Linked DNA regions of Lepisosteus oculatus. The protein of the gene in region 2 interacts with the protein of the main gene of each other region in a biochemical or structural test. Links are inferred from orthologs where the notes say so. Each region holds a gene or a part of one and is shown on either strand. Other genes may lie near its edges.

The links.
Region 1: the proteins of map2k7 (region 2) and mapk8ip2 form a complex in vitro, tested with the Homo sapiens proteins (2 studies listed by BioGRID). The link is inferred for Lepisosteus oculatus from reciprocal best matches to the Homo sapiens genes MAP2K7 and MAPK8IP2.
Region 3: the proteins of map2k7 (region 2) and growth arrest and DNA damage-inducible protein GADD45 beta form a complex in vitro, tested with the Homo sapiens proteins (2 studies listed by BioGRID and IntAct). The link is inferred for Lepisosteus oculatus from reciprocal best matches to the Homo sapiens genes MAP2K7 and GADD45B.

Annotation. Positions count from the first base shown.
Region 1 is NC_090702.1:14,099,380-14,107,272, forward strand, and holds the start of mapk8ip2 (C-Jun-amino-terminal kinase-interacting protein 2), read right to left. Parts: upstream 3,104-7,893; 5' UTR 2,636-3,103; coding exon 2,571-2,635; intron 2,545-2,570; exon of another isoform or gene 2,460-2,544; coding exon of another isoform or gene 2,422-2,459; intron 1-2,421. UniProt on the Homo sapiens protein: The JNK-interacting protein (JIP) group of scaffold proteins selectively mediates JNK signaling by aggregating specific components of the MAPK cascade to form a functional JNK signaling module.
Region 2 is NC_090706.1:13,862,151-13,869,596, forward strand, and holds the start of map2k7 (dual specificity mitogen-activated protein kinase kinase 7), read right to left. Parts: upstream 3,060-7,446; 5' UTR 3,033-3,059; coding exon 2,843-3,032; intron 1-2,842. Other genes in the region: pkn1a (serine/threonine-protein kinase N1), read right to left, coding at 6,130-6,333, 6,842-6,922, 7,251-7,358. UniProt on the Homo sapiens protein: Dual specificity protein kinase which acts as an essential component of the MAP kinase signal transduction pathway. Essential component of the stress-activated protein kinase/c-Jun N-terminal kinase (SAP/JNK) signaling pathway.
Region 3 is NC_090724.1:1,678,593-1,685,970, forward strand, and holds growth arrest and DNA damage-inducible protein GADD45 beta, read right to left. Parts: upstream 2,732-7,378; 5' UTR 2,562-2,731; coding exon 2,518-2,561; intron 2,337-2,517; coding exon 2,235-2,336; intron 2,041-2,234; coding exon 1,818-2,040; intron 1,480-1,817; coding exon 1,366-1,479; 3' UTR 604-1,365; downstream 1-603.

The sequences.
Region 1 (7,893 bases), on a different chromosome or scaffold from region 2:
GTTACCTTGCTCTTTCTACAGAAACGTTTTTTTGGTTGTCTGGCATGAAACAGACCTATATCCGATAGGGTTGTTTTCCCTATGACATGACATGAACACAAATACAGAATGACAGGGAAATAAAATTGGGAATGACTGCACCATTGTGCTTGGAAAGTCTCATTGATGTGGCTCTGCACTGACCAATATTTTGTGAAAACCTGCTGAAATCTGACCAATATTCTACTGAAACAGAAGTGTAAGATAAACTGAAAATACCACTTTATTTTTCATTTAGTTTCGAAAACGAATATGTGATACCCCTGCGTAAGAGGAAAGCATGTAACTTGAGACTGGGTTGTTGTTCAGTTTCACTGCAGTTGATCTTATAAAATAAAAGATGTGATGGCTCTATTTAACAGTGAGTGTTTCAGAAACATCAAAGAATCCCCACCACACTTCACCTACTTATATTCTCATATTAACGTTTCTGCAGGTCCTTCCTCCTGGCCGCTGTCAGGGTGTGTTACACTGCCCTAGGCTAGGACTGTTGCCCTTCATCTGCTCATCTATGGACAGCATGTTGCACTATTGTACTTTTTGGACACTCAATCTGTATATACAGTACCTATGTGCATTTTGCACGTATTTTACTGTTTTACAGTGACTATGAGCATATTTTGCACACACCTAACTCTATATATTTATTTTGTATTGCTATACTTATTTTAATTTTTCGTCTGTTATGATATCTGTCTTTGCTTGTCTTGGGGTGGGCTGCTGTAACACCTCAATTTCCCTTTGGGATCAAAAAAATCTATTCTCATTTTTATTTTTAGCAAAAAAAAAACCCTCCTAGAGTAATATCTGAACTTACAATATATATTTTCTTCTATGAAAACTGTAGAGCATAGAGAAGGTAATTTATTGTTTACTGTCTTTATTGCATTTATTTTTGTCCTTCCAATTTTATGTATCCTGTTTTTTTTCCTCCTCACCACCTAAAAATCATGCTCCAATTCTACAGACATTCCTTTCAGCCTTTCCTTAATGGGCTGTTTTTTTTGATGGCCCTAAGGGAAGTGTCAACGTTGTTTAAATCAAAATGGTGGTCCTTTTAAGAATATGGATCCTAGAGGTACACCTTCACTGAAGATTACAATAGAACTGATTTTCTGATGTTAAGGTGGGGGAAAAGTAATACTATACTGCTTCAGACTGTGAAGTGGCCAAAGCTTATTTTTCCTGCAATACCCCAAGGGCCAGGGAGATTTCACTCCCTGCCTGACACCGAGTGGCATGTGGATTGTGCAAACACACACACTGAAGCATGCCTCAAATAAAGAGAGACGGCTTTCAGTAGTAAATCCTTCAGAATCGTTGCCCTGCGTCAATATTTATGAATACAAATAGTTGTTTATAAATACATATTAAGAGGACATGCTTACCTAGTAGGGTGAATACAAATTATTTGTTGGAGCAATGTGCAAAAATATGATTATCCCGCAGCTTGCTGGACTTTTGTGTTCATCAAAATAGTTAGAATACAACCCCTAATTGGAATGGCTCAGTACAAATGTCTACAAAAGCTGCTTTCCTTACAAAAGCAAACACAAAATTACATTTTAATATAATTACTGTTCATACTAAACTATTTTATTAGGGTTATTTTCAGAACAGCATGAGCATTTTTTATGATATATACTGTAATTCACATTCATTCATACAACCCATTTCAACTTCAATACCCCACTTCTAGTCTTTTTAAATCACATGATAACAAGTAAGAGATAATATAGAAAGATAGGTGCTGAAATGGTTTATTAGTTTTATGTACAACTTTATACATTTCACTCTTTTGTGTTCTGCAGTATAGGTGCGCTGTCAACAAAGTTTTATTTCGTTCTAGTGAATATGCATTAAGTCAAACGTTACGGATAGGTAGCTTTAGCAATCATAAACATCACGGGTCAAAGTCCTCTTTTAAAATCGACGAAAAAAGAATTAAGCAGTCCAGACATAGTGATCGGTTTATGTCAGCAGTGGGGTCCTTCTTTCAATTATAATTGTAAATAAATACATCACTATGGAGGCTTCATGTATGCATCTAATAGGGCGTGGGCCTCTTGAGAAGCAACTCCTCGAACGTCTGATAAATACAATTAATAACCGTGTGTAAAGCAAAGAATTACAAAGAATCAACCGTTTGATATCCTTTCAGGTTATTTCTCTCCTTTTAAATATAATGTTAATACTGGTGTTATTTTACAGAAGCAATTGGTAAATAAAAAAACTTGCAACGCTACAATATATACACTGGAAATATAGTTATGAAAGAAAGCAATAATATCGAAACAATAATAAAAGCAAAAGTACAAATCTAATATTTTAATGTACGGCTTTCCCCCCATCCAACCCTCCCATGCGCCAGAATCAACAGACCTGTCGTAGCGGTACTTGAGAGCATCACCCAGTGACATTCCTACTGCTCCTCCCGCGACAGCCTTGGCCTCTGCAGCAAAGCGCCCGGGAGTTTTCGTTATGTCCTTGATTTATCGCAAATGAAAATGTTGCTGCTGAAGCAGTCTTACCTGCAACCTGGAGGAGAGAGGGAATGGAAGGTGGAGAGAGAAAACATCTCAGCCCTGTCCGCCATCTTCTTCCAGAAATGACTCAAAAGTGACTGCAGATAATCACAAAGCACAGCCCATTCACAGCCAGAGAGGGTGCAGGCAAACCGGATCAAGGGATGATGATCAGCGAAGAATTTTCGCCCCCCTCTGTGGCAACACTGCAGATGTCACTAACATGAACTAATTGTACCACGGATACATTTATCTACGATCAGAAAATCCAGATAATCCTCTTGGGGAAAAAGGAAAGGAAGAGCGTGCTGATTAGGAAAATGGTTGTTTTAAATAATCGTGGATTAAACACTGCCATACACCTGCATAGATCTAGCGCTAAGTACTCACAGAATCAGAGCTATGGAATGCAACAGCAAGCTCTTGTAAAAAAAATCAAGCGCAGCCTCTATCCCTTCCAAAGGACGCACACCAAGCTCCCCCAATACTATGTACAGTATATCAAACAGCAAGAGGTAAAAATCTGTACTGAACTAGCAAAGCAGGAAACAGCACTGCGGATGGTCGTACTTAAGACTACAGACCACATTTTAAACCAAGATGTATCATCCAGCATTATCATATTCTGTTATGATTATGCGCGTTTAATAGCATTTTTCTATATTTCGAAAAAACGTACAATAGGTTGCATTTTGCTGATGGCTTGTGAATATTATGACTGAGATTGATTTGTTTGTGGGTGGAGAAGATTTTGTATTACATGGACATCACGTACAGTAATACTGGAATGCGCTGACAAACACTTCACAATTATTCAGAGCATAAATGCATGTCTTTCTTCTTTAATTGGTCTAAAAACCACTGACTCAGCACCACAGATATATCCTGGAGTAACATTTTACTCCTGAACTGAGGATTCTGTCAAAGTTATACCAGATACAGTAACCATCGTGTACGACTCTGTTGATATTGTATGTCTACATTTATAGGAGTGGAAAGAAAATTAAACGATCGGTCAGACTCACCAATGAATCACAAATCAGCTCCTTTGGACCGCATTTAAACTGAAAACGGGAGTTGTTGGAGTCTGTAACAACTTCTATCCTTTCAAGAAGCAGCTGGTGAGTTAATTAAGCGCGCGTTGTATTACAGTATGTAGCCATGTACGTTTTTTTAGAAATCCCAGACATTTTAGAAAAAGCTCTACATCTTTAAGCACTCGTTATGATAGTATTTGAAGTAAAGTGTTAAAACAGTACTTGACATGTGGTCATGGCAGATTAGCACTTGGCAGCATTGAAGAATTGCCAAACACTTCAAAACCATGGAAATAACCGACTTCAAAACCATGGAGGCAATACTCGAGTTTATTTTAGTTTCTCAGTATTTTGCATTTGAATACAGAAGAGTATTTACAGTCTTAATGTGGGAACATGGTCCGCAATCTTGATTTAGTGAGGCCAGCACTATTTCTTGTAGGAATATAAACCATACTGACCTTAAATAAAAGCGTTAACAAGTGCACCCCGGTGACGAGTCTTGACTAACACTAACAAGTTTACAAAGATACATCCAAGCATCCGTTTTCAATAATCAACCACTCCTTTACAGAACACCAAAGTCCAAAGGAAGGGCAGACACATCAATGAATTAAAAAAGATGCATTTTAAATAAGCATACTAAAACTACTGCGCAGTGGCAAAAAACCTGTTGTAAAGAACAAGTAAAGGTTTATTCCACGCAGAAAAGAAACATATCGTTTCGGATGTGGAGGCTCCGAAAAGCTGATTCTTTTCTTACCTTTTCTGCATGGAATAAACCTTTACTTGTTCCTTTGCAGCCTACGCAGTACCTACTTTTAAAATCTGTTGTATGCGTCGAAGCATAGAGCTGTTCTATCGCCTTTGGTGCTGAAATTGTGTAGGAATTTGAGAGCCACCTATGGAGAAATAAGGTATTACAACACTTAACTATTATCTTAATTGTGTACTACCTCAATTCAAACTCCATCCATCCATTACCGAATGGCGGCTTATTTCTAGTGTCACGCTGACCCAGAGCATGTCAGGACCATAAGACGGATAGGTAGGTTATTACACCCTAGAAAAGAGAACCTGTCCATTACTGCGTACACACTGTCAGTTTAGAGACTCTTATTCACGTAATGTAACTTCTGCACAAGGCATAGTGCTGTCACTCCTATAAAAATAACACAACTAAAAGTATTCCATACAAAGATCTTTTACTCAAGTTCAATGTCTTCCTCATAATGTCTTCGATCTATAATCTTTAGAAATAAAAATATGCAATTATTCAAACATTATTTGAGACTTCATTGTTGTGGATCTTTGCATTAAAATACACATAGAATAATAAGAAATTAGCAGTTCTACTTTCCAATTAAAAGAGATGCTTGTAAGAATACAGAATGGGATAGTTTATATATACTATACAAACACAAATATCTTGCTTCTTTAAAAGCTATTTTAGAAGCAATAAAGCAGATAATATGTACTAGGAAACAAAGCAAAAAATAATAAGAGCATTAATTTATCCTTTAGCGTGACGCTAGATGAAATTTGATTAGGATAAAAAGACCCATTCCTGTGAACAAAATATAATCAAATCACTGTAAGTAACTTAAGTTTTTATTTTGAAGGTGGTTTTATAGACAATTTTCACCAAATAATAGATTTCAGATTTAAAATTTCAAATTTATCCTTTGTCAGTAGATTATAAATTCAGCAATCTCTTTTCAACAGCTTTCTTTTTATAGAACACCAAGATGCATTTGAAGGTGTGGTATGATATACACTAACACAGCACTTGTAATTATTTTCAGGACTTTCACATAACAAAATGAGGCTCAGATCACTCATTACTAAACACTTATTCAAAGTTTGAGCTGTATCTTTTGGATATCCTAAAGAAAAGTCACATAATTTTATTAACCTATTGCAGAACAGGTGTGTTTATCTCATGTTTTCATGAGGTTGAATCATTTATAACTCATCTCATACCAGGACTGGCAAGCCAATCAGAGATATTTCTTATAAGAAGTAAAGTGCACACTGAAATGTGCTCATTCCTTTCAAAGTTTTTTATTTCTTGAAAGTATTTCACTAATCCTATCATCAGGCTTAACAAACATCTAGAACATGAATATTACATCACAGAATGAAATTATACAATGCAAAAATAAATGTTACAGAGTACTAAAACTCTGATGTTACACTTGAAATATATAAACATCTCCAATACATTTCCCAACACCCAATTATAGGCACAACATCATGTTGATTAAAAATAATATGCACTGTACTGAAATAAGGAATATTTAACTGCAGGGTTAGGGTGAATAGAAGTCAAGCACATTTTTGGTGAAGGTAGTGAAGATATAAAATGCAGTGGAGCAATATTATTCTATGCTTTGATTTGATTAAAAAGGTAGTTTTGCCTTTCAGTTATCCTGTGTAAGGAGCTTCTTGTTGATGAAGGTGAAATGTCTTAACTGTGGGTGTGCAAGCAGCTTGAAACTTTGTAACCTTCTGGTTGTTTCAGTTAGCCACTGTGGTTTTAGTGGAAATCAGTTCTCTATGAATTACTAAACTTGGTACTGGCTTATGCTTGAGTCAGAAGTAAATAAAGCCTGATACTGTCAAACATATGGTTCAACAGATGTATTAATAACGACAGTAGTCAGCCACTATAACAAAAAAGTGCTAGATAGATGTATTTTCATCTATTTATTATGCTTGTAAAAGCATTACAAAATGAACTGCATTTACTTATGCCTTACTAATTGTCATATTTAACACTTCTTATCGGCTAATAAAAGATCCATGTATGCTCCAACAATGAGGTCCTCCTTTCTAACTCCCAGTTCATCCATAAGCTTGTGGGCAATAGCTTCTCCTTCTTCTTCAGTTTGTCCATCATTCAGCACCACCTGTGGTTGATACATAAATCCATAATACTGGAAATACTGTTTAAGAACTTAAATCTCTGACTTGATATACAAACTTTAAGTTGCTCTGTTTTTATATAACTCTGCAATGATCTCCTCTAAAATCTGAAATTTAAAACAGAAATGCAAGCAAACAAATTCTTTTTAATCAAGATATATGAATATGTAACTACGTGCTAATTTAATATTTCCTTCACTGTCATTTTATTTGAGAGTCCGATCTACATCTTATCAGAGATCAAAATCAGTATCACATGGTTTGTGAAGAAAAGTCCTACATTTTAGTGATTTTTAAAATGACTAAAATGAAGTGCAATATAATGAAAAAACTTTTTTTAAAACTATTTTATAGTGTGCATGAGTTCAGATTAAAGAACTCTAAGGACACACAACATGGCATAGTTCTCTTAAGGAAATTATAAATTAGGTTGATGGATGCAACTTCAATAATGCATCATCTGGATTCAATACATACCACAAATACTCTGCAAGAATATCATATATACAGAACATTAAACAGCCACAACACTCAACACAGGCCTCAACTTCTCCCTAGAATCAGTGTGAACACTAAAGCTGGGACTGTTAGTTAACTTACCTCCAGCTCCATGAAGTGCCCCAGGCCTTCAACTGTGTCTACATGGACTCTAGTTTGCCCCACCATATACAGATGCCGTTCTTTTTTCACGGTTCCCTTCACACCCAGAGCATCTGAAAGGACTTTCTAAAAAAAAAAACAACATTTATTTAATACTCACGCTCTCACAGTTTCTCCCTCCCTCCCACAAAGCACAACAGCATTCGATTTTTCTTTTTCTTGTGGGGTAAGTCTGATTATTATGACTCACTTTGCTGAATACAGAGAGTGCACTTAAGTTTTCCCATCAGTGAGACTTGGAGCCATGTGAAAACATGATTAATGTCAGCACAAGAAAGTTCTTAAAATGGCATCCAAGATAACAGGCTGTGATTTACCAGCTCTTGACATACTGTCTACTCCAGTGGTTCTCATCGCTGGTCTTGAGGGACCCCTGTGTCTTCTGGCTTTTAAGGACATGAGAACATAAAAAAGGTTACAAATGAGACAAAGCCATTTGGCCCGTCTAGACTGTTGGGTAATAAGTAGCTGGAGCTTATCCAGACCTTTCTTGAAGGTAAAGGCTTTAACCACATGGATGGATATCATTCCATACTCCCTTAATCCTTTGGGGAAGAGGCCTCTTGTTCTTGGGTTTTAAAAGCACTTCCTCGTAGTTTCCACTTGTGTCCTGTATTTTGTTTTCTGTTGTTCATTCTGAAGAACTTCATTGGGCTGGCAATGCCTTTAGAGGATTTTAAATATCAGGTCCTCTTGTAATTATT
Region 2 (7,446 bases):
ATAAACCAATCAGAGACGTAGCCAAAACATTAGGTGTGTCAAAATCAACTGTCTGGTACATTGTTAGGAAGCAAGAACGCACTGGTGAGCTTAGCAACAGCAAACGACCTGGTAGACCACGGAAGACCACAGTAGTGGATGACAGAAAAATACTGTCAATCGTGAAGAAAAACCCCTTTTCGACTGCTGAACAGATCGAGAACACTCTCCAGGATCTACCACTGTGGAACATGGTGGAGGTAGTGTCTTGGCTTGGGCATGTATGGCTGCCAGTAGAACTGGCAGTCACATCACCAATAAAGACAAGTGAGCCAACAGCAGCAGCAGGATGAATTCTGAAGTGTACAGAAGCATCTTATCTGCTCAAATCCAACCAAATGGCACAAAACTCATTGGACGGCACTTCACCTTGCAGCAGGACAGCGACCCCAAACATACTGCCAAAGCAACTATGGGGCTTTTCAGGGTCAAGAAGTGGAACGTTGTTGACTGGCCAAGTCAATGACCCAACCTGAATCCCACTGAGCATGCATTTCACTTACTGAAGACAAGACTGAAGGCAAAAAGCCCCCGAAACAAGCAGGAACTGAAAATGGCTGCATTACAGGCCTGGCAGAGCATCACCAGGGAAGTTACCCAGCTTCTGGTGATGTCTACGGATGGCAGACTTCAGGCAATCATCAACTGCAAAGGACTTGCCACAAAGTACTAAACATGACCATTTTATTTAAGATTATGTTAATGTGTCAAATTACATTTAAACCCCTTGAAATGGGAGGACTATGTATAAAAAGGGCTGTGATTCCTATATGGTTCACCCAATATAGACGTAAATACCCTCGAATTAAAGCTGACATTCTGCACTTTAACCTCATAGTCATTGTTTCATTTCAAATCCAATGTGCTGGAGTACAGAGCCAAAACAACCAAAATTGTCCAAATACTTAGAGACTGCACTGCTATAACCAGCTGTACACACTGTCCACTCCCACCCTCACTGTCCACTGTGCTATAACCAGCTGTACTCACTGTCCACTCCCACCCTCACTGTCCACTGTGCTATAACCAGCTGTCCTCACTGCTATAACCAGCTGTACAAAGTCCACTTCTATACACACTGTCCAGTGCTTTAACCAGCCGTACACTATCCAATTCTGTACACGCTGTCCACTCTGCTATAACCAGCCATACCAACTGTCCACTCTGCTATAACCAGTTATACACACTGTCCACTCTGCTATAACCAGCCGTATACACTGTCCACTTCCACACACTGTCCAGTCTGCTATAACCAGCCGTATACACTGTCCACTTCCACACACTGTCCACTCTGCTATAACCAGCCGTATACACTGTCCACTTCCACACACTGTCCACTCTGCTATAACCAGCTGTATACACTGTCCACTTCCACACACTGTCCACTCTGCTATAACCAGTCGTATACACTGTCCACTTCCACACACTGTCCACTCTGCTATAACCAGCCGTACACTGTCCACTTCCACACACTGTCCAGTCTGCTATAACCAGCTGTATACACTGTCCACTTCCACACACTGTCCAGTCTGCTATAACCAGCTATACACACTGTCCAGCCGTATACACTGTCCACTTCCACACACTGTCCAGTCTGCTATAACCAGCCGTATACACTGTCCACTTCCACACACTGTCCAGTCTGCTATAACCAGCCGTATACACTGTCCACTTCCACACACTGTCCACTCTGCTATAACCAGCTGTGCATAATGTACACTGCTACACACAGTTATAATGAAATATACACACTGTATATCCACAGACAGCTATGCACACTGCAAACCACAGCATACAAAGTTGTAATCGCCGTGTGCACCGCTTTGCATCACTTGCACACAAACAGCTACTCTCGCAGTGACCCCACGAGTAAATGCTGTTTCTACAATCAACAAACCCAGCAGGCGGGATAGAAGAAACAACTCCTTCGGTGTGTTCATCTATAATTATGGTGTCAGTGTTTTAGCTCCAGTGTCTACTGTCCTACTGTGTGTTTCTCACTGAAGGATTCTGTTACTTCCTTGGTCTCCTGTCCTATTGCACATGTAGAACTGAGGGATCCTGTCCTGTCTCCTGTCTCTCCCTGTCCTGCTCTGTGCATATCAGTAAACTATGCCACTGTCAGACAGACAACCACGTTTAACGTGCCGAATGACTACTTTCTATTTCAGATGACCGACAAACGCAAGCCAATCCAAACACACGGGTTTACAATCCCGGCACTCTTCTGCGGAGTGAAGACAGCTCCTCCACCTACAGACCTTCTCAAACACGCCTGCGAGACAGGAGCTGACACCCGTACGGATGTTTTCACACGTCTTGCTGAGCTTTGTGCTCAAGTCCAAGACAGAAGCTGCAACGTAACTTAACCCGTCACAAGGTCGCGCCACGGCGGTCCCGTCACGGCTGCGGTGTTTACAGGAGGCGACAGGGCCGCCCTGCCGCTTCCTTGGTCACATTTTAAACCACTAAGCACGAAAATGAAATGAAACTGAAAAACAAAAAACAAGAAACCGGACAGCGGCGCCGGAAAGCGACGGGACTGGACGACCAGGCAGAGCCGCGGCCTGCAGGTCCGAGTCCAGACCCGCAAACCGGAGAGGAACTTCACTCGTGTCCGCTTCAGGTCCCGAATACCGGACCCGTCCGGCACCCGGGGTCCGGCGGGCGCTGCGGTTTGTGTAGAAATGTCTACAGATTTTCGATCTCCCCTCCTCCTCGTTCCCCTCCCTCTCCCCGTCCCTGTCCCAAATTCCTGCCGACCCCCACCACCGCTCCCGGCTCTACCGGCTCCAAGACTCACTGGGTCGGGGTCGGGCACGCTGCGGGCTCATATCGATGTTGAGGTCGATGCGCCTTCGCGCTTCTTTATTCTCCTGTTTTAGTTTCTCCTCGATTCGGGAGAGTCTCTGCTCCAACGACGACATTTTGGAAAAACTGAGAGGTACCACCGAGTGCGCACAATCTCTCCACAGACTCTCCCTAAGTGGCATGCTGGGATAGTGGATGACTACACTACCAACTATCCGGTGCCATAGATATCCAGACAGTGTAGCATTTACGAACCGACAGAGACAACCCTCATAATAATGATGACAATAAATACAATGATACTGACATTATGAGAGGAATGCACTCTACCATTGTGGAGACAAACACTGTATTTGGACTTTTTGTAATTGTTTAAAATAAGAGTAATATGCCGTGTTAGAGCGCCTCACGTGGTCCTGGAGGACTGACAAATCAACATATTTTGTAGAATTTTATTTTCAGAGTATAATCATAGAACACATTGTATCTCTAATCATTATCATTAGTGCTGTTGTATCATGGGTGAATTTTTTTCAGAATTATGGGGAAAGATGTCACTCCACAGAGGCTGTGGACAGTATGTGTGAGAGGAGAGATACAGACAGGAGACTGTGGACAGTATGTGTGAGAGGAGAGAGAATACAGACTAGAGACTGTGGAACCAGCCTTCTGTGAATACTGCACAAATCCTGCATGAACCCTTTATGAATTGTGTAAGTCCCATGTGAATCCCCTGTGAACCCTGAGTAATCCTGCCTGAATCTCCTGTGAACCCTGAGTAAATCCTGTGTGAACCCTCTGTAAATACTGTGAACCCTCTGTAATTCCCGTGTAACTACATGAACCCTGTGTAAATACTGTGAACCCTCTGTAATTCCCGTGTAAATACTACATGAACCCTGTGTAAATACTGTGAACCCCGTGTAATTTCTGTGTAAATACAACATGAACCCTCTCTGAACCCTGCATATATCTAGCTTGAAACCTGGTAAATCCTGCAATCCCCTTGTGTATCTTGTGTAAATGCTTTGTAAAGCCTGTGTGAATCCTGCGTAAATCCTGTATGTGCTCTTTGTGAACCCTGCATAAATTCTTTGCACCTTACGTAACTCCGGCCTGAATCCTCTGTGAACCCTGCATGAATCCAGCCTGAATCCTCTGTGAACCCTGCATGAATCCAGCCTGAATCCTCTGTGAACCCCTCCATAAATCCGGCCTGAATCCTCTGTGAACCCTGCATGAATCCGGCCTGAATCCCCTGTGAACCCTGCATGAATCCGGCCTGAATCCTCTGTGAAACCTGAGTAAATCCTGCAGGAACCTTCTGTAAAAACTCCACATGAACTGCACAGCTGGCCAAGGTTAAATGAAACCAGTCCAGGAAACAGGAGACTTCCTATTGGAAGGGTTTCAATAAGATCCCATTATTGGGGGACAATTTGGTACAATGCTGATTTTGGGGTGACATGGATCTTTGGGTCACCTGAGAGAGATTCCTGAGACTGCTTGCTGTATGTTTTCCCAGTGACACTAAACACACTTGTGTTAGAAAAGCCCTTTATAAAAAAGATACATTAAACAGGAAAATTAAGAGTAAAAATAAAAATTTAATCATTCAGTCCTTCACTACTTCCACAATGTTTTTTTTCTGCATAATGTACTCGGTATAATTTACACAACTTTGTTAATATCATCATTAATATTATTTTAAATCCTGAAACTAAAATTTCACTTACTGTAAAATAATAACAGAACTTTTCAAACCTTCACAAGCTCCACAAGAACCAGGTCTGGAGTGACCACTCCTTCTCCACATGATCCGGACCTTCAGAATCGGGTCTGGAGTGACCACTTCTACTCCACATGAACCGGACCCTCAGAATCGGGTCTGGAGTGACCACTCCTTCTCCATATGATCCGGACCTTCAGAATCGGGTCTGGAGTGACCACTCCTTCTCCATATGATCCGGACCTTCAGAATCGGGTCTGGAGTGACCACTCCTTCTCCACATGAACCGGACCTTCAGAATCGGGTCTGGAGTGACCACTCCTTCTCCATATGATCCGGACCTTCAGAATCGGGTCTGGAGTGACCACTCCTTCTCCACGCGAACCGGACCTTCAAAATCGGGTCTGGAGTGACCACTTCTACTCCACGCGAACCGGACCTTCAAAATCGGGTCTGGAGTGACCACTTCTACTCCACGCGAACCGGACCTTCAGAATCGGGTCTGGAGTGACCACTCCTTCTCCACATGAACCGGACCTTCAGAATCGGGTCTGGAGTGACCACTCCTTCTCCACATGATCCGGACCTTCAGAATCGGGTCTGGAGTGACCACTCCTTCTCCACATGATCCGGACCTTCAGAATCGGGTCTGGAGTGACCACTTCTACTCCACATGATCCGGACCTTCAGAATCGGGTCTGGAGTGACCACTTCTACTCCACATGAACCGGACCTTCAGAATCGGGTCTGGAGTGACCACTCCTTCTCCACATGAACCGGACCTTCAGAATCGGGTCTGGAGTGACCACTCCTTCTCCACATGAACCGGACCTTCAGAATCGGGTCTGGAGTGACCACTCCCGATCCCGGCTGGTTGTGTCTCCTTCATGTCCTGCTCATCCGCTCTGCTCGATCCCCCCCCTGTTCACACACACACACGTACTAAAAGCATTTTAAAAATATAATTGGAGCGACTCGTTCCTCCAGCGCTGCAGGCTTCAGTCTGCAAACCTCTCGCTCTACTCATGCCAGCCCCGCAAGACAGCTCTCGAAACGTTAAGGCTTCGGTCGGTGCTACAGCCCCACCCCTCACCACCTCTATCACAGTATAACCGGAAGTCTCTTGCTCCTCCTCCTCTCTCTCGGTGTTTAGGCGGAAAAGGCACACTGCCTGCCCACCACCCTACCACACCTTGTGCTGCTCAGTCCCCTCCTCCCTCCTTCACTGAGGACCCATGCCACACGAGCTGCCGCACCGGGGCTGGGTCTCTGCTCGAACCCCGTCACCTCTCCCTCTCCCCTTCTCTGCAGCTCGGCCTGCGCGCGGGAATATGTCATTCCCGAGAGTCCGCTGACCTAATCCACATCCTCTTGTCCGGAGAGGGAGAGGGACGAAGGCAGCGCGCAGGGAAGCAGAGGAGGGAGCGCTCTGGGAACAGTCCAGGGTCCAGGTGTCCAGGGGCAGACACACTGCCCAAAGTCTCCCTCGGTCGCAGCGCCGAGACGGACAGGCAGGCAGACAGCGCCCCCTCTGTCCAGGCGCAGCAGGGCTAGCAGAGGTCGGAGACGTAGTCAAAGTCCTTGAAGCTCTCCTGCTCCTTGCGGGAGAGCGGGCGGGGCTCTCGGGGTGGGGTCAGGGTGGGCGCCTCTGTCGTGAACTCCTCGTCGAAGTTGCTGACGTCCTCCTTCCCCACGATGGAAGGCACGAAGGGCGGCTTCACCTGCCGCTGGAGCAGCGCCTCCCAGTCCACCCCCTGGGAGAGAGAGACAGGTTAGACACAGCACCTCCCAGTCCACCCCCTGGGAGAGAGAGACAGGTTAGACACAGCACCTCCCAGTCCATCCTCGGAGAGAGAGAGACAGGTTAGACACAGCACCTCCCAGTCCATCCTCTGAGAGAGAGAGACAGGTTAGACACAGCACCTCCCAGTCCACCCCCTGAGAGAGAGAGACAGGTTACTCAGCACCTCCCAGTCCACCCCCTGAGAGAGGAGACAGGTTACTCAGAATCTCCCAGTCCACCCCCTGAAAGAGCGAGAGACTGGTTAGACACAGCACCTCCCAATCTACCCCCTGGGAGATGGATGGAGCCAGGACGAGATAAGGAATAAAGATCAGAGAGGGAAGAGAGCAGAGAGATCCAGACAGTGGACACACAAACCCGGAGATAGAGAGAGGTTAGACACCAGAGGGCAGAATGAGGGAGAGCTTACAGACAGCGAACAAGGATGATGAGAGAGAGCTAGACAGTGAGACGCTTACCCTGAAGAAGGGCTGCTTCTTCACATCATCGGCATCCCTCTCAGTGGAGCCCAGTCTGCGCTCTGGGTTCCTCCGCAGGAGCTGCACACAGACAGTGCCCACAGTGCATCAGTGGGACGACACAATAATCATGAGTGGACCACGGCCAACCCCCACAGGCCAAGAGGAGGTCCAGCTGTGTGGCTCAAGCCCATAACAGAAACAGCTGGATAAGATCCCGGGACAAATCCCTGGCAAGCAAACTCAGTGTGCTGAACAGCGTCTTCTCATCTCTGACCTTTTGTTAAGTTCTTCTAATGGGTTCTCATTTAATAAGAGACACGACAGCAGGAGCTGGTGTGTGATTTGCCTTTTCTAGGTGGCTGACGGCACAAGGCCGGCCTGTGATTGGCCGAGGGGAGAACCTCACCCGTCTCATGATGCCAATGGCCTCGGTGGAGAGGAATCGTGGGTAACGGACTTCATCATTAACGATGCTGTCGAACACCTCCTCCTCATCGTCACCTGGGAAAGGAGACTGAAACACAGGCAGCGTGTCGGTACGGTTGTAATTCCACAGGCTCCGACAGTTCCACGCAGTACGTTAATAACGCGGAAAACGACAA
Region 3 (7,378 bases), on a different chromosome or scaffold from region 2:
TTCTGCAGCCCCTGCTCTGTCCTTGAGGAAAGCACCTGATATCTGAATTCTGAAAAGGGTATTGTATCGGAAACATTTCCTTTTTAAAATGAAATGTGCATACAAAGCAATAGTTCACCCTCCTCCCCCAGAACACACAAACATCCCTTTTGGGAAAAAAAGGCCCCCATTGTCCTTTCATTTCATAATTGTGGAACCTGCAAGTCTTTTGAAAAAGAAAATTTGCAACAGGATTAGAAATGCAACTTTGTGAGCGAGGTGCCCTTTTTGTACCCTGGGAACTATTCCAAACTGGAGCTCTGCTTCTGTAAGTGAGATCCAGCCTCACTTCAATGAGTTAGTGAATCTTTATTTTGTAGGCCAGAACAGCTCCTGAAGCATTAGGCTGTTCTGCAATAAGAGGATGAGCTTGAATTATAACACAAAGGGATAATAAATGTATGCTTATTGCACACTGCTACGAGTGCAATAGTTTGAAACACTGTTGGAGTTTACTGTGCAATGTTGAACCCCAAAACCCACCAATGGGGGTGCACCCCCACCCATTCTCCCCAGAAGAGCCACATCAGCATGAGAGCCAATAGAAAGAGACAAGAACTTCAATTTCCAATCCAAATAATTTATTTAAAAACAAAACAAGTGAAAACTGGCATTCGAAAACACGTTCATAAATAGAAAAATGAATATATTATTTCATCTCGACACTTCAATACATTCCAGACCCAGCTTGCACTGCTCATGTGAATGTCCCTCAACACCCACATCGCTGCGAAACCAGCGGGAGTGCTGGTGTGGGTTCTGACATGAGCTTTGAAAGTCACTTGCAGTCCGTGTACTGGGAAGCGGCTGAACCCGCTCTGCTCGCACACTCCCACAGGTTTCTTGTTTGCCGTCTCCTGCCGGTTTGCATGTTAGTCAGAGCGCCGTTCCTCTCCACCGTGTGTGTCCGGGGGATTTTTTGGGTTTGTGTCACGTCTCCCCTACTGCAACAGGCAAGGCAATCGTCACGACAGTCTAACCCCCCTCCCCTCCCGCCGCCGCCACCCCCTCGGCGCTGTGAAACTGGCAGGGTTGCCCGTCGCACCACGGCGCTGCTCCGCCGCCCTGCCCGCCGGCCCGCCGGGTTCCCCCTCGGCGTCCCCCGCCAGGGCTGTTCCGCTCTGCGGCGAGACCGCGGCCTCCGGGCCCGGCCCTGTCCCGTCCACTCTTTCCCAGCTCCTTTCCAACTGCTCGTTGCAAGCCGAGGGCCGTGCGGTTGTGTGTGTGTTGTTGAATACACCCTAACATTTTTTTAGTTATTTATTTCCTTCCTTCCCCCGAGAATGTCGCTGTTGTCCTCCGCTTCGGCTGGGGCGCCGGCGCCCCTCAGCGCTCCTGCAGCGCCAGGAAGGGGACCCACTGGTTCTGGCAGCGGCTCTCCTCGCAGTAGCTGCCGACGGCCTTGAGCGCCTGGCTCTTCCCGGAGTCGGTGTGCGGATTCTGGGAGGGGAGAAGGCGGATCATTAGCACGCTGGCCTGTATTCCCGAAACTGAAAGCACGGGGCCATGTGACGCGCGATACTGCCGAGCTGCCGGCTCGTCTCACGGGCGGCTCCGAGCAACCCCGGACCTCCCACCCCGTTTTGCATGCCCCCGAATTCGCTAAGAAATGCCGATTCTGGACCACGGGTGCCAGCTCTGAATGTTGCACCCGGACTGAAGAGACACATGCCCAGCATGCGAATGAGCACCGCGAATGAGCACCTCCTGCGTCTCAGCCACGACTGCTGGTCTGCTACCCCTCCCGCACCCCGGGCACAGCGCTGTAGGACACTTACAGTGACCAGGAGGCAGTGCAGGTCCCGCGGCTCGTTGGCGTTGCAGTCCGCGCCCGCCTCGCCCAGCACCTGCGCCAGCCTCTGCACGCCCGACACCCGCAGGATGTTGATGTCGTTGTCGCAGCAGAAGGCTTGGATCAGCGTGAAGTGGATCTGCAGGGCGATGTCGTCCTCGTCCTCTTCGTCCGTGGCCAGGATGCAGAGCACGACGCTGTCGGGGTCGCTGCGGGCGGAGGAGATACAGCGTTACTACACGGGCACCGGGCTCTGCAAACCGCCCCGCTCGCTAAGTTTCAGTTTGCACTCCTCTGCAACCTCCCTAACGCACAATACGGTGCAATAATACAAGACGTGGAAGCACAGACACCTCGACTCTTCATCACACGTACCCGGCCGATGAGATGAACGGATACTTACATGTTCATTAGCTTTGCAGACTCGTAGACCCCCACCGTGAGGCTGTCCTGTCTCTGAGCCGTCACCAGCAGCTCTTCCAAAGCTTGCGCCACGGTTTCCATCCTGCAAGAGAGAACAGGGAGCCGAGGTTAGGACTTGCTAAGCGCGATCCCAGCTGTTCAGAGCTCGCAGGAGCCGATGTGCAGCCCTACACAGTCAAAGAGAGACCCGGCTACAAGGTGCAGTCGCAAAGCACAGCGCTCAGGTGAGTGAAACTCAAAACTTCTTTAGAGCGTTTACTTACTTTTGGTCAGCGATACTGCATCCAACGACTTCTTCCAGAGTCATGTTGAAATATAAATTGTTGTAATCCACAATGTCCAGATAAACTCCAAAGTTAAAATCCCGTGTAACAAGGTACTCGCTGGCTGAGTAATCCAAACGTTGCAGCTCAGAGTCGTTGTAACCGAGTCCGATCGCCTGAGTTACAATAAACCGGTTTGTATATCCAAGTCCGCTCGCTTAGTTTCTGGGATATTCTCGGCGGCAGACGACTATATATTGTCTTTTCATGTGGGCGAGGCCGGGTCTGCAGCCCTTTGCTCTGATTGGCCAGAGGATTTCAAGAGCGAGCTCAGCCTTTGCAACCATTGGGCGGCCCGTACGAACGTATCGCTCTGAGCCCACGTGGGGCGCGATAGCCTCTCTCTCCCCCCCCCCCCTCAAAGAAATTCACCCGTGTTTGTTTGAATTTCGAATCCTCTGGAATTCCCGGACTGTTTCCTTACGCCGTTTTTCACTCGGGAACAAAAGTGAAAATAGTAGGAAAATAATTGCAGGAGCTTCGGTAAATAAAAGCACATCTGAAATGTCGGCTCACTGCAAGCTCTGTCGACAGCGAGGACCTGTTCGCTTGCATGAAACTTTTGAAAGGTGTTTGCAAAGCAATACAGTGATACTTTTCGGGGATTTGCGTGCTTCTGTACTGGCCCAGTGTCTCTTCTCTAGCAAGGGGACTGCAACACCAGACCCCACTCGGCTTATCTTATGATCGCGTCTTTTTTGGAAGCACCTGACTTTCCTCGTGTTAGGAGGGGGACTTTGCGCCTCATGCAGAACCGAGGACGCGTTGTGCAACTGACAGGGCAGCGTGACAGGATAAAACAGCCTCATCTGAGAATGTCATATGATTAACTTGTCGCGATCCGACTTCATGTATTATTCTAGATGTATCGGGGTGTTTTTTTTTTTTAACCTGCAGCATCCTCCAACGTTTAGTTTCCAGAAAGCAAGACCGGATTTCTAGATGTGTTACCTGGAATTTTCATAACCTGCGCGTCGTCGCGTCCGCATTCCTGTGAGGTTAATTGCGATTTCATGGACGAGGCGCAGAGACACGCACTACATTGTTGACGCTGTCTTCACTGGGCTTCAGTGTTCGCATACCTAATTTCTGTTGGTTTTTGTGGTGGCCCAACTTCCATAACAAAGTTATGAAAAATCACGATCGGTTTTTAATTTCAGTACAACAAAACAGGTTTAGTAAGCACACTAGGAAGAGTTGCAATGCTAGATGCAGACTGGTGTTCTCTTTGTGCTTTGCGATTGCTGTGTGCCGTGCACAGTAACTGTTGATAAGCAACTGTCCAAATCACACTGCAGCAACCCCGAGTTTTCAAATGAAAACCGGCTCCACGTTAACTTTGTTATCGGGGGGTCCCCCTAGTGGTCACAGGCAGTCACTGCAGGTACATGTTGTAACGCCTCGCAACTTTCATGAACTTTCCAGCATGAGGTAATTCCAGGGTAATAGCCCTCACAATTTATTTGCCCTTCTTCTGTTAAGTAACGTTTTGTGTTTTTTCGTGAGGCTTGCACACAAAAAAATAATTTTACTATTATTGGAAAGAAAAAAAATAATCTTTAAAATAAATTGACTGCAACAGTTTGCTGTGTGAAAGAGCAATTTGCAATGAAATGCAGTCAAAATGGTTGCTACGAATGATAACAGTAACAGATTAACGTGGCTAACATGCCCTGAGTTAACAACTGCTCCCCAGCACGGCAACTTGCTAACAGTCTGAACCGGATTGCGTGACGCTGCACTTTCGCGGCGGGGCTCAGTATCTCGGCCCGCGATCGCCCTCTGGTGGAAAGTGGGCGCATTTAGCCAACTGATAATTGAAGCCGTGCTGCCACCTGCCTGTCACTGTTTCCAGGCGAAAATGAGAAAATGCGTCTTTCTGAAGTGTCTCATAGGGTCAGTTGTATGTGTTTAATTGACTGTCGCATGAGTATGTTTTAAATGTAAGCGGTCATTTATTTTTCTCGTGATCTCTCATTTTTATTTCAATTCAAAAGACGCGGGTTTTAATTCATGGGTGAATTTCGCTGAAGGACTCAGAAGAAATAACCTTAACTGATGTCGAGATACTTCTGGAGCGCATGTGTTTGGAATAGCATAAGACGGTTGCCACGTACAGGGTAGGATGAGACGTAGCAAGGCATTCAATCGAGGTCAGCGGCTTCCTAAATCCATTTCTCAATGATGGCAAACTTGACGACTGAAGTGTCCACGATTTAAAGCGAGGCGCCTCTCGCCCTGGCTAGAGATCGTATTGGTAAAATCACATATTTCAATTGCGAGGCGCCACCGGAGCTGTTAACAGCCGGTTACAGCAAGCGCCCGACACATGTAAATGAAGAAACGGAAAGAAGTTCAAAGTTTTTCGTTCGGAAATCCAGGTTGATGTGCCAAGCGCCTGAGCGAGGTGTGAAACGGAGGAAGGCGCTTTCTTTTGTCAGAGTCGGAATTGCGAGGCTGCAGGTCGGTGCTTCAGGACAGAGTGTTCTGCTCGTGTTAGCAGGGCAGTGTTCACACACACACACACCTCAAACCGAGCCCGGGGCGAGCTTGGTCTTGCTCTTAACGGTGTTTGGACACAGTTGTTGTTGTTCTGTGTGTGTGTGAGAGGGAAGGACGTGTTTTTCATTCTCTGCGGAGACACGGACTGAAGGGGGCTGTGTGTGGGGGATGAGTCAGTCCGATCATGTAGTCATTAACCAGACAGAACGAGGAGTCGATCACGTCTGTTAGTCACCATCGCCATCAGCGCTGCCGACACCGTGGAGCTACTGACCCCCGAAACAAACAACACCGGCTCGGTGTCATGATGGAGTTAGCGCTCCTTAACTGTCCTGACTATAACCGGACGCGCCGACACACAAAAAACGACATTCTGCAGATTTATATCAAATATATATATATCTTCTGCAGATATATCCGTAAAGATGACCGTCACTCTACCGTAAGACGTCTACTTTAATCTGAGGAAGAGGTGAAAACAGGGTCGCAAATCATAGAATTTTATATATTGCTGTTGTAGTCGCATCAAAACGCTTTTAAATCTCGATTTTAACCAGAGGAGGGCATAGACAACAAATGATCCCATTTCCTGTACTCGTCTACCTGGGAATGTGGTCGGGGAGCGGGAGAGAAGTGTCCCGCGGAGGTGCGGTACCGAGTCAGACACTGGGGGTTCTCTCCGTGTCCCTCGAGACTGGCACAACTGCTTTAAATATTTCAGCACTTTGGTCTGACAAAATGGTATCGGTGCACGAAGGCTGCAGCTGGCCGGTACTCGCACGACAGTGCTCATACGAAGCCAACACGATCGCTTACTGTCCTGATCCCCTGACAGTGAATCTGCGCTCCTTCTGTCTGGGCGTCGATTTCACGCTACCGACATCAGTGCAACAGCGCTAGGTAATCCCCGATACCCACGGCTGCTCACCGGCTTCACTGGGACAAGGTAGTCTTTCACCTTGAAATTCACAAACACACGAGTGGTGGAAACAGTCAGGAGTGGGCGAGTTTCGGGTCTCCTTGTGCAAGTTGGTGCCTATTCTCACCCACGCACGGAAGAGAACGTACAAGAATAGCTCAATTGTACTGCCTCCCCCCACCAGAAGTAATTTGTAAAGGAACATGGAATTGCCCTGAACAAAAGAAACTATTTTAGCATTCGATGTAAAATGCAGTGTGCCATAGACATTTTTGTTAGGGCCCCTGTGATTCATAAGTCGCGGTCTGAAAGCTCTCTTTATAGATGTGAGTAAACGGCACAGCAAGTTGTGCTAAAAGCCCGACCTTCGACCTCTCCGATCACAGCTCAAACTTGCGCTCTCCCTGGAAATCATGGGATCGGGGAAAACTGCAAGCAGGTCTGCTTTCAGCCGTGGAGCTGATCTGGAGTTCCTCGAACACTTTGAAAGTGTGCTCTGAAGTTCTAAATGGCTAAAAACATTTTCTAAGAAAATAAACACTGATAAAACACTGATGATATTCACTGGCGTGGAGATAAAGTTCCGACCAACTAAGCAACTAGTAGGATCCACGGAGTAGCTAGAAGGTGCCAGTTGGAGGGACCAGGTGGATTTGAACCTGTGACCCCCTGTTTATAGTGCCCTTCCCGAACTCCTGGTGGTTAGAAAATGAGAGCTTCTGGAGAAAAAAACAAACCTGGACCAGGAAATAGCAGGAAATACCCTAAAAGGTGACTGGAATCAGATGAGCTGGGCTGCTTTTCCGATTCCTCAATGTGAGGTTTGTTCACCTTGCCTGTGTCCTGGGCACAGGAGGAGTGTTCGTCGGGGAGCTGCAGTGAGCCAAGCGAGGGGAACAGAAGGAGCTGGCCTGTCAGCACACAGCTGCAGCTCACACAAGGTACCACAAGCCTTCTGACAGAAGACATTTCCTTTCTCCTTTTGCCCCAACGAAAGACACGAGGGCGAAAGACACTGGGCCTTGGTGCTTACCTGGAAGTCTGCTGCCTGTTGGTCCCGGAGTTTCACCCAGTGGTTTGTCAGAAGACCTCCCAGGGGGCAGCTTGTGTGCTCTGCCCAGGCAGCTCGCTTCTGATACCCACAGCGCTTCCTGAAAGGTACTTTAGCCCCTGCTTCCTATCCCAGAAACCCTGCTGAGGGATTACCAGCTATGTCTTTCATTGGCTGAATCAGAAACCGGCCAATCGGGTTGTATCTGGCCTTTGCCCCTTGTCTGAGTGAGGCCCTGGTCTCCAATCCACACACGTGGCTCCGGTGCCCTCTTGCTGTGCGGACCTGCTCGTTTACATGAGACAGGCTGGCTCAGGGACACTGTGATG